Macaca fascicularis: one gene and its partners. Each later gene encodes a partner of the first gene's protein in a complex. Links are inferred from orthologs where the notes say so. Each region holds a gene or a part of one and is shown in the gene's direction. Other genes may lie near its edges.

What was found.
Region 2: LAMTOR1 (region 1) and LAMTOR3 share a complex: the UniProt entries of both Homo sapiens proteins name them as parts of the ragulator complex. The link is inferred for Macaca fascicularis from reciprocal best matches to the Homo sapiens genes LAMTOR1 and LAMTOR3.
Region 3: LAMTOR1 (region 1) and LAMTOR4 share a complex: the UniProt entries of both Homo sapiens proteins name them as parts of the ragulator complex. The link is inferred for Macaca fascicularis from reciprocal best matches to the Homo sapiens genes LAMTOR1 and LAMTOR4.

The regions. Positions count from the first base shown.
Region 1 is NC_088388.1:70,860,034-70,863,779, reverse strand, and holds the end of LAMTOR1 (ragulator complex protein LAMTOR1), read left to right. Parts: intron 1-1,515; coding exon 1,516-1,661; intron 1,662-1,913; coding exon 1,914-1,991; intron 1,992-2,353; coding exon 2,354-2,480; intron 2,481-2,854; coding exon 2,855-2,947; 3' UTR 2,948-3,478; downstream 3,479-3,746. UniProt on the Homo sapiens protein: Key component of the Ragulator complex, a multiprotein complex involved in amino acid sensing and activation of mTORC1, a signaling complex promoting cell growth in response to growth factors, energy levels, and amino acids.
Region 2 is NC_088379.1:105,533,814-105,537,559, reverse strand, and holds the start of LAMTOR3 (ragulator complex protein LAMTOR3), read left to right. Parts: upstream 1-990; 5' UTR 991-1,135; intron 1,136-1,413; 5' UTR 1,414-1,450; coding exon of another isoform or gene 1,451-1,459; intron 1,460-1,775; 5' UTR 1,776-1,792; coding exon 1,793-1,816; intron 1,817-3,405; coding exon 3,406-3,440; intron 3,441-3,746. UniProt on the Homo sapiens protein: As part of the Ragulator complex it is involved in amino acid sensing and activation of mTORC1, a signaling complex promoting cell growth in response to growth factors, energy levels, and amino acids.
Region 3 is NC_088377.1:48,816,095-48,819,840, forward strand, and holds the start of LAMTOR4 (ragulator complex protein LAMTOR4), read left to right. Parts: upstream 1-947; 5' UTR 948-1,021; coding exon 1,022-1,024; intron 1,025-1,544; coding exon 1,545-1,625; intron 1,626-3,746. UniProt on the Homo sapiens protein: As part of the Ragulator complex it is involved in amino acid sensing and activation of mTORC1, a signaling complex promoting cell growth in response to growth factors, energy levels, and amino acids.

The DNA.
Region 1 (3,746 bases):
GGGCAGGAGGAAGTAGCCCTCTACAAGGAGAGTTGTGGAGTTGTGGGCAGGGGAGCTGGAGCCTGCAGCAGGAAAGACTGAGGAACTGAGACAGGCCTGGAGGGGAGCATTGAGGAGTCTGACACTGAAGGTTGGTGAGTCAGCATTAGCCAGGATGTCCCCCTGGGCCCATCCTTGGCTTTGTCCAGGGCACTCTTGCTCTTTATGGGTTGGATAGATACCCAGCAGGTTTGTTTTTCCAATTTACCACTGATAACAGCATTCAAGGATTTGCAGCTGATGGACTCAAGGCAGGGTCAAATCCAGAAATATTACAGTAGATAGAACAGGGGACTGAAACAGGACAAGTAGTAAGACCAAACCAGTGAGGAAGCTTGGTTTGGTCTTACGTTAGTTCAGGGGTTGTGATTATCAGCATAGGCCAGCAGTAACAGGGCTGCTGAAAATTTACATGGGCTACTCAGGTGGTTTAGCAAGGGCGGGAATAGCTCCATTGTTGTTTGTTTTGAGATGGGGTCTTGCTCTCTTGCCCAGGCTGGAGTACAGTGGCACAATCCTAGCTCACTGCAGCCTCAAACCCTGGGTTCATACAGTCCTCGCACTTCAGCCTCCCAAGTAGCTGGGACTGCAGGGCTCACACTACCAAGTCCAGCTAATTTTTTATTTTTTTTGTAGAGACAAGGTCTTGCTTTGTTGCCCGGGCTGGTCTCAAACTCCTGGACTCAAGCAATCCTCCTGCTTTGGGCTCCCAAAGTGTTGGGATTCCCAGTATGAATCACCACACACGGGTACAGCTCTACTGCTCAGATCAGGATACACCTCGTACACTCAGTTTGATTCTGGGAGTCACATAGAAAAAGAGCACCAGAGCATAAGAGGGTGAACACCTTCCTAGGGACCTGCCTTCAAGAAGGGAACACACTTGTACTGTGTGACCCAGAGCTGGGCTGGGATTCCTGCCCTGACATAATTTGAGAAATGGCCATGGAGAGGTTGGGCTTGCTTTCCCTTGGGGCCTAGGGCCTTGTCTGGACTCACCAGGGCTTCCATCTTGGAAGGAAACAGCTTTGCTGCGGAGGGCCTGGTCCTGGGGGATGAGGAGGGCTGTTCTTGGGCTCCTGACTTGCACTGGTTTCCCCTTTAGCTCCCATTGCTTTGCTATGTCTCAGCTCCTCTGTCTTCCAGCCTCTAGTATCCTTTCTCTGCCAGGTCCTAGAATGTTTTTCAAGCTCCAGGGCTGTTGCTGACTATCTGCTTTGTGCCTCTGTCCCTTTTTTCAGGGCCTCTAGGACTGCCTGGCTCCACTCTCGTTTATCCTAGAACACCAACTCAGCTGAGCTCCCAAGGATAGGCAGGAACTGAGTCTTATCTGGCATTCCATAAAGCTGGGCACTTTGGATATTCCTTATAGAAATATTTTTGGTGTTTAAGGTCAGAGCTGGGCTGAGGGTAGCACCCATGAAAGGCAGGATCTAAGGGTCCTGGGGCTGACTTCTCTCCCATGACCACTTCTAGGACCGAGAGGAACGGAAGCTGCTGCTGGACCCTAGCAGCCCCCCTACCAAAGCTCTCAATGGAGCCGAGCCCAACTACCACAGCCTGCCTTCCGCTCGCACTGATGAGCAGGCCCTACTCTCTTCCATCCTTGCCAAGACAGCCAGGTAAATGTCAGAGGACCAGGCCTGGGTCAGAGCTCCTCTATCCATATTAAAGGCCAGGATAGAAGGAGCGAGGCTCAGGACATGGGGGATGGGATAAGGTCACTGGAGAGAGGTGCCTCCATGTCCAGCCCTGCGCCAGTAGGCAGGAGGGAAACTGGAGTCAGATAACCCTGGAGTTGGTACCTGGCACTGAGTCCTGTTTGTCCTTCTCAAAAGCACCTGTCATGTCATCTCTGTCTCTTCTCCCTAAAGCAACATCATTGATGTATCTGCTGCAGACTCACAGGGCATGGAGCAGCATGAGTACATGGACCGTGCCAGGCAGTACAGGTGAGCACCTGGCCAGCGTGGGTCCCTCAGGCTACTTGGGCTCCTACCCTCCATCACTGTTCCAGCTTTGGAGCCTGGCCCCTAGTCCAAGCTTCTCATTTGGTGCAGCCCTGGAGACTGACCACAGATCACTTGGGTGCTTCAGTAAATATTCATGTCAGCCCTGTTTACCCTGTGACACTCTCGAGGGCATTGAGGCCAAGGGAGGTGGGCCTAGAGTGAGTCTGTGATGAGCTGAGACCTTCCCTCCCAGATACCCCCCTCAGCACCCTGCTTCTCTGGCCTGAGGGGATGAGGCTTACCTGGGCTGGGCAGGGCAAACTGTGGCTTAACTGCGTACCCCCACCCCCTCTCTCGGTCAGCACCCGCTTGGCTGTGCTGAGCAGCAGCCTGACCCATTGGAAGAAGCTGCCACCGCTGCCGTCTCTTACAAGCCAGCCCCACCAAGTGCTGGCCAGTGAGCCCATCCCGTTCTCTGATTTGCAGCAGGTGAGACACCCCTTGCCTGCCCCTGCCCACCCTTCCCACACTGCCCAGGGTGTGGCAGAGGGTTCACCCACTCTGCCTCAGAGGAGGTAGGGAAGATGGAGTTAGGGAGCCTGGTAGCCTTGTGGGCCCCAGTTCCCTCTCACCTCGTTCTCTTAACATATGTCTTTCCTATCTCCTTCCCGCAACCTTTATTGTTTCACTCCCCTTTGTTCTTTTCCTTCTGTCTCTCCCATCCCTGTCTTTCTCTCTGCCTTCCTGTTCCCCATCATTCCCTCCTTCTCCTTCATCACCATCTAATCTCCCCTCCCTCTTTTTCCTGATCGGCCTCCTCACCTGTCTCTGTTCCTCTCCTCCCCGGTCCCTCTCTGTCTTAGGTCTCCAGGATAGCTGCATATGCCTACAGTGCACTTTCTCAGATCCGTGTGGACGCAAAAGAGGAGCTGGTTGTACAGTTTGGGATCCCGTGAAGAGAGGGGTCCTTGGACAGCTCTTCTCCTCTCTTCCTCCCATCTCTACCCCACCCCCTTGGCCCCCAGCCTCACTGCGGCTTATATAGTACCCTAACCTGCTACTAATCACAGAGAAAAATGTGAAGAAGGAGGAGAAGAGGAAGGCTAGAAGCCTGAGCAAGTGAGGGTAGAACCTTTTGGGACTGGCCTTTGAAGCTCTGGCCAGGGATAGGGTGGGGGCCAAAAGGACAGAGCCTGGTATGTCGTCATAGTCATTGAGAATGTGGAGATACCAGTTTGGGTGGGGGGTGATCACCAGGGGACCTAGGGAGATCCCCTTCCCACCCTCTCTCTTGGCCTCAAAGTCACTCCTGCCCCCTCTCCCTGACTTGGTGCTCACATGCACCTCACGAGGGTTTGTGACCAGGGTCTGGATGAGCTTGAATTTGAATGAATTGAGTTTGTATTTCTAGAACCCTGGGTTTTTACATGTTTGGTCTTTTTTTTGTTTTGGTTTGTCACCCTCGATAAAGGAAGTATATTCATCCATGTGCTGGTTCTGGCCCCTCTGTCCTATTCATTCTACTTTTGACTACTCAGGTCTATGAGAGTAAGATGGGGGGCAGGGGGCATCTTGCAGAGGCACTGAAGATGAATCCAGGAGATAAGGGTTTAGGGTGTCAGCTCCTAGCTGAGACCTGGCTTGGGCTAACCTCAGATTGGATGAGACTGTTCTTGTCCCTTGTCCAGTGATGATGGGAACACTGTCAAAGCTGAACAGACCTGAATCTGAGGCAGCTTTGATTCTTGGGGACCC
Region 2 (3,746 bases), on another chromosome or scaffold:
TAGCTGAAAGAGGATGTGATTTCTAAAGAAGCTTTTCTTTTGAGCATCTCGCTCTGTCACTCAAGCTGGAGTTCAGTGGGGCGATCACCACTCAATGCAGCCTCAAACCCTGGGCTGAAGGGATCCTCATGCCTCAGCTTCCGGAGTACCTGGCGCACGCCACGTAAGGCTAATTCTTTATTGTTGTTATTATTATTAGTAGTAGTAGTAGTAGTAGAGATGGGGTTCTATCTTGCCAGGCTGGTGTGGAACTCCTGGGCTCAAAGGATCGTCCCGCCTCGGACTCCCAAAGTGCTGGGATTACAGGCGTCAGTCACCGCACCCGGCAAGGCTTTTTTTTTTTTTTTTTTTTTTTTTTTCCAATTATTATTTATTATATGAGACCTTACTAATTTTTTAAAATTCTGATGTAAAAGGGAACATAGAAAGTACCCGTAATCCCGTGTCTGCATGTTAAAAGTAGACGCTTGAAGTGCTCCAGAAAACCCATGGCTCCTCCCCATTCAATCTAGATAAGGCCTTGAGTAAAGAGCACCCATGGGGAAGTCACAAGAACCTAGGAAACAAGTCAGAAACCTGTGGACCTGATACTTCCAATCACAGGCAATCTGTTGCTTGCTCTTCAGCTCATCACACCATCCCCTCAAATTTCTTCATCTACAAGAAAAGGTTTTAAGATAACGGACCCTGAAAAACTAATGACATTTATACACCCTCTCTGCACAAGAATGTCTTGTAACACATAACCTTGCTTGCATTTTCTGGGGTCCTCGGGGTCCAGCGATCTCGTACAAATCCTCTACCCCACAGCTGACGTCCCTCGGCCCGTGACACAAGGCGCAGGCGCAAGACGCGGCCCGCGGTGGGCGGGGGAGGGGCGGGGCGCGTCGGGCGGCCGCGCCCTCGAAGCTTCCGCCAGGCCCTTCCGGAAATCCAGTATCGTGGGGCGACGGCGTAGAAAGTGCTTCCCGGAGCGCCGAAGAGGTCATCAATCATGTGACGGTGGCTTGAGGAGGAACCTGTCTTTAAAGCTGTCCCTGAAGTGACAACGGAGAGAACCAGGCAACCCAGAAACCCCAGGTAACTGGCGCTACTTTGCCTGGTTTGAGGCCTAGTCCCGGAGGTGGCGCGGGTGGTGAGACTAAACAGAAGGAGAGGGCCCCCTCTTCTTTTCTTTGGGCCTAGCTCTTTGGGGTGGAGGGGCAGGGATGGGGTGGGCTGAGGCAAGGCGTGCCAGCTGAGTACCCGTGGGGGTGTTGGGGCACTCCGACTCCCACTGGGCTCGCTGGGCCAAGCCCTAGAACCGCGGGGGTTTTGCCGGGTTCTGACCAGGGCTGATCTTGCTTATTAAGTTGGGGGTGGGGAGGACGAGGAAGCCAAAGAGGTAAGAGTCACCGGGAGTTTCTCTTCCAGGCGTGGAGATTGATCCTGCGAGAGAAAGGGGTTCATCATGGCGGATGTGAGTGACACCCCCACATAAGAGGAAGGGAGAGTGGGGAATTTGGAGGGGAATACTGAGCGGGGAGAGGTAGAAGATCCTCCCATCCCCACCCATCCCAGTTAATTATTTTCTCTTGTATGTGAAATGGGAGACTAATATGAATGAATTTGCAGGATCCTGAGTTTCTGCCTCGAATGGGGGTGGAGGACACTAAGGTGCTTGAGACTGAGAAAATTATATTCTCCCTACTCACCAATCCAGCTGGGGTATAAGAGAGGCTCTGTGTATTTACCATTTGAAATTCTGAATGATGGTTCGCTGCTTTTCCTGTCAGAATTTGGTCAGTAGGACATGTACCCAGAATACTTTTTTCCAGTAAGTGGTAACAATATCTTATTAGGTTTATTGTGGCAATTTACGATGATTTCTAACCCATGCCTCTTTAGAAACATAACATGAAATAAAATGAGGGGTGTGTGTGTGTGTGTGTGTGTGTGTGTAGGATGAGAGCAAAAATAAGCCAATAGTCATAACATGAAATAAAATGATCATTCGGGTTTGGAGAATAGTAAGTGTTGGAGGCTCAAAACAACAGATATCTGATTAATCCATGCGAGGTCAAAATTGATACCTCAAGTGTCAGTGAAATTCCTGGGATGAGAGAGTGTAATGAGACAAAATAAGATAATCTTCTGGCCGGTGAGGTGGCTTCGTCTGTAATCTCAGCATTTTGGGATGCCGAGATGGAAGGATCACTTGAGGCTGGGAGTTCAAGATCAGCCTGGGCAACGTAGCAAGACCCCGTTATACAAAAAGAAATTTAAAAACCAGGCGCATTGATAACCCTGTAGTCCCAGCTATGCTGGAAGTGAGGCGGAAGGATTGCTTGAGCCCAGAACTTGGAAGTTGCAGTGAGCCCCAGCTTAGAAAAATAAAATAGTCTTATATTTCTTTAGTCTTAACTGTGTTTAGTGTTAAACACTTGACACACTTCGCCATTTATCTTATATTCTGTAAGTCTGGGCTGGGCGTGGTGGCTCACGTCTGTAATCCCAGCACTTTGGGAAGCCAAGGCGGGTGGATCACCTGAGGTCAGGAGTTCGAGACCAGCCTGGCCTACATGGTGAAACCATATCTCTACTAAAAATACAAAAAATAAGCTGGGACGTGGTGGTGGGTGCTTATAATGCCAGTTACTCGGAGGTTGAGGCAGGAGAATCGCTTGAACCTGGGAAGCAGAGGTTGCAGTGAGCCGAGATTGCGCCATTGCACTCCAGCCTGGACAGCAAGAGCAAAACTCCCTCTCAAAAACAAAAAAAAAGACTGTTGCCTCACATAGTCATATATAATTTATTTTAGGTCCTTAAACAGAATATTTTAATAATTATGTTATAATAATATGCCTTACACTGTTTCATTATTTGTTGAGTAGGTGAGTTCAACAAATAATGAAACAATGGAAGGCATATTTTTATAATGTGAGACAACAGTCTTACAGAAGTCATATCACCTTACCCAAGACCATTAAAATGATGGTGGAAAGTCTATCTTTGAACCTGGAAAGGTGTTTATAATGTCTTCTCAAGTGAACACAATAGCAACAGGATATAAAACACTAGTATGAAAATTATGATATATTTTTATGGCTAAAATGTATTTGTGTTTCCCATTTCTAGGTATGCTAATCCATGCAACTTCTCAAAAAACTTTAACAGCACTCTTATGATGTAGGTTCTATATTAGCCCTATTCAACAAATAATGAAATAGGCTTAGGGAAAAAAGGTTAGTTAACTTACTCCAAGTTGCATGACTAGTAAACATCCAAATCAGACAGAGAAAGATAAAACACAGCAAGAAAGGTTATGAATGATAACTGAACGTCCCTAAAATTTGGATAGGACAGGATCTAGAAAACAGTGGAAGGCCTATTATTATAACATGATTTTTTAATATTCTCTTTCAGGACCTAAAGCGATTCTTGTATAAAAAGTTACCAAGGTAAGAAATTTTTAATTTGTTACTGAATAAATTCTATATGCCATATGTTAATTTTATGAAGTATTTTGTCTGTGTATTTTCAATGTTTTGAAGTATCTCTGAGATTTCCTTTAATATGAATATTTTTTGCCAGCATCATGTCCTCTGGAAAATTTTCGTCACAACCGCTTTCCTCATTTATGTCAATAAGTTTGCCTTCACTGAGTTCTCTGTGTATCTAGAGGGATAGTGTCAGCATTCCCTTGGTCACCTGTTTCTTCTATAACTCTTTATTTGAAATTCACTTCCAGCATTATTACTTTTCAT
Region 3 (3,746 bases), on another chromosome or scaffold:
GTATCATTCCAAGGTACTGTTTCTAATTTTTTCCTGCAGAGAATATTCAGTATTGTATCTGCATTGGCTAGCTGGTGATTCTATTCACCATCACATTGTCCCAGACTGAATCTGAAGACAAAAAACCACTTTGGGAACAAAATCTTTTTTTTTTTTTTTTTTTTTTTTTTTGAGATGTAGTCTCGCTGTCTCCCAGGCTGGAGTGCAGTGGCGTCATCTCGACTCACTGCAAGCTCCACCTCCCAGGTTCGCGCCATTCTCCTGCCTCAGCCTCCCGAATAGCTGGAACTACAGGCGCCCGCCACCACGCCTAGCTAATTTTTTGTATTTTTTAGTAGGGACAGGGTTTCACTGTGTTAGCCAGGATGGTTTCCATCTTCTGACCTCGTGATCCGCCCGCCTCGGCCTCCCAAAGTTCTGGGATTACAGTTGTGAGCCACCGCGCCCGGCCAAGGGAACAAATTCTTGTCTTCAACAAAGAGCGGTCTTGAGTAGGCATAAAAGTAGCATTTGAAGGTTGGGCGCCCAGCCTTGAATAGCTTTTTACATGCATTGCACGTTATTTCCTTTTATTATCACGTTTTTTGGGTCCAGTCTTAAACCTGGGAAGGCATTCGTTTGGGAGGTCACACTGGCGGGCATCCTGGTTCAGGCGGAACCCAGACTCTAGAAAGCGCGCGCGGAGCCACACGGTCAACCCTGTCCCACTCCTGGCCCTCCCACACCGTCCCCTCCGCGGAAGCACTCCCGCCTCCTCTCGCTCAGGCACTGACTGAGAGGCGGAGAGATGGGTGTTAAAGAGGGGATATCACCAATCAACGTGCGCCTCCGGGAAGGAGCGCTTCGCACTGGCTGGTTGGGTCTGACGACGTGGCCACGATCCAATCCTCATGCTAGAGGCGCGGCTAAAGGGTAGGGAAGCAAGCAGAAGGAGGAGCGCGCCGGGTGCGAGCACGTGACCGGGGCCTGAAGCCGGAAGCTACCTATCTGGTAGGGAGCTCCACCAGCACCGAAGACTGCGATGGTGAGTGAGGACGCATGCGCGGGAGGACCCGCCGGGGGTTCCGCGTCTCTGCTCCCCAATCTGTGTGGTTTCCCCCTCGTGGGTCTGCGCTCCACCCTCACCTCCTATCCGCTCGGGGAGGAAGACGGGATGGAGATGGGAGGGATGGCGACGGGAATGCTGGGGAGGGGTCTGTGGGAGGGTGTTCTGGGGCTGCGGGTAGTCTGCAGGTCAGGGGCGGGGAGGTGGAGAGAGGGTCTGGGGGCAGGGGCCAGTGGGGCAGCGAAGTCCCCTCGGAGTAGCATAGGTGGAGCGTGGAAGGCCAGGGGAGCCCGGGGGCCGAGAGTGGGGGCAGATGGAGGCTCGGGAAGATCAGTATTGAGGACCATGTAGGGGGAAGGGAGCCGGGAAAGGACCTGGCTGGGGAATGAGAAAACCTGGGGCCATCGCCAATCAAGAGACTTGGGTTTGTAGGTGAAGGGTATCAGGGGCCATCCATCCCTCTAGCATGCTTCTCACTACTTGCATCTTTACCCACTAGACTTCTGCACTGACCCAGGGGCTGGAGCGAATCCCAGACCAGCTCGGCTACCTGGTACTGAGTGAAGGTGCAGTGCTGGCGGTGCGTTCTGGAAAAGGGAGGGGGTCCCTTAGTGCACACAGCCCGGTAACCCCTTCTAATATTGGCCCTTCTTTTCTCGACTTTTACCTGGTTTGCGGTCTGGCATCTATTAGGTTGGTACAAAAGTATTTGCAGTTTTTGCAATTACTTTCAGTAATCAGTCTGTGGAATCTTAGTCTCCTAACGGTTGCGGTTTATTTATTTATTTATTTATTTACACTTTTTGAAACTGAGTTTCATTCTTGTTGCCCAAGCTGGAGTGCAGTGGTGCGATCTCCGCTCACTGCAACCTCCGCCTCCGGGGTTCAAGCGATTGTCCTGCCTCAGCCTCCAGAGTAGCTGGGATTACAGGCATGTGCCACCACGCTCGGCTAATTTTTTGTATTTTTAGTAGAAACGGGGTTTCACCGTGTTAGCCAGGCTGGTCTCAAACTCCTGACCTCAGGTGATCCACCTGCCTCAGCCTCCCAAAGTGCTGGGATTACAGGCGTGAGCCAACATCCCTGGCCTTTATTTGATATTTCTTAAAGAGTCATTTGTATTTTGTTCCATAGTACTGTATAGTGTTAGGTCTCTAGATGTTTTTGATTTAGCTAGAGACAAAGCTTAAGGTTAAGTGTTGAAAACAATACAGGTGGTAAAAGACTATTGAAGGAATCCAGGATATTAAAAATTCAACATGTTATGACAAGGTAACTAACTTCCCTGGAGGTAGGAATTCAGCCCAGCTTAAAGGAGAGTATTTACAGTGGGGAGGTGGACATATTTGCAGGTGTGTGGCACTGACCTTTCTAAACTGATGGTAAGTCTGTGCTGAAAAGATTTGGGAAGATTTGAGGGAAGAGGAAGATATGGTCAGGGAGGATCTGATTGTGAAGGATCTTCAAGGCCAGGTTAACACACTTGAACTTATTCTTCTTGGAGGTAATACAGCTTGAAAGGTTTTTTAAACAGAAACAAGACCCAGTGAGGTGGTTGAGCAATATTGTTGTTAGTGATGTGAAGATGGGCAGAAGGAGGCATCATTAAGAGATTAGACTGGGCCAGGCATAGGTGGCTCAGGTCTTTAGTAATCCCAGCATTTTGGGAGGCCAAGGCGAGTGGATCACGAGGTCAGGAGAGCTAGACCATCCTGGCCAACACGGTGAAACCCTGTCTCTGTTAAAAATACAAAAACAAAATTGGCCAGGCGTGGTGGTGGGCGCCAGCTACTCGGGAGGCTGAGGCGGGAGAATGGCGTGAACCAGAAAGGCGGAGGTTGCAGTTAGCCAAGATTGCACCACTGCACTCCAGCCTGGGTGACAGAGCAAGACTCCGTCTCAAAAAAAAAAAAAAAAAAAAAGAGATGAGACTGGGCAAGTGGCAGTAAGAAGGAGCAAGGAGAGAAGAGTTTTGTTTTTGTTTTTGTTGTTTTTTGAGACAGAGTCTCGCTCTGTGGCCCAGGCTGGAGTGCAGTGGCATGATCTCAGCTCAGGGCAACCTCCGCCTCCCAGGTTCAAGCGATTCTCCCGCCTAAGCCTCCTGAGTAGCTAGGATTACAGGCGTATGCCACCACACCCGGCTAATTTTTGTATTTTTAGTAGAGATGGGGTTTTGCCATGTTGGCCAGGCTGGTCTCGAACTCCTGACCTTGTGATCTGCCCACCTCAGCCTCCCAAAGTGCTGGGATTACAGGCATGAGCCACCGCGCCCGGCCCTTTTTTTTTTTTTTTTTTTAGGACAGAGTCTTGCTGTCACTCAGGCTGAAGTGCAGTAGTGTGATCACATCTCATTGCAGTCTTGAACTCCTGGGCCCAAGCGATCCTCCCACCTCAGCATCCCAAGTAACTAGAACTATAGGCAAGCACCACCACGCCCAGCCATTAAAAAAAAAAAAATTTATAGGGACAGGGGTCTTGCTATGTTGCCCAGGTTGGTCTCGAAGTCCTGGCCTCCATCAGTCCTCCTGCCTTGGCCTCCCAAAGTGCTGGGATTATAGGTATGAGCTACTGTGCTTGGCTGGGAGAAGATATTTTAAAGGAGGAATCAGTATATCTTGCTAATGACTAGAAATAGGTAATAAAAGAAATACTTCTCTAGCTAGAACTCTAAAGCCTGGAAGAGTGATGATGCCTTAAGAAA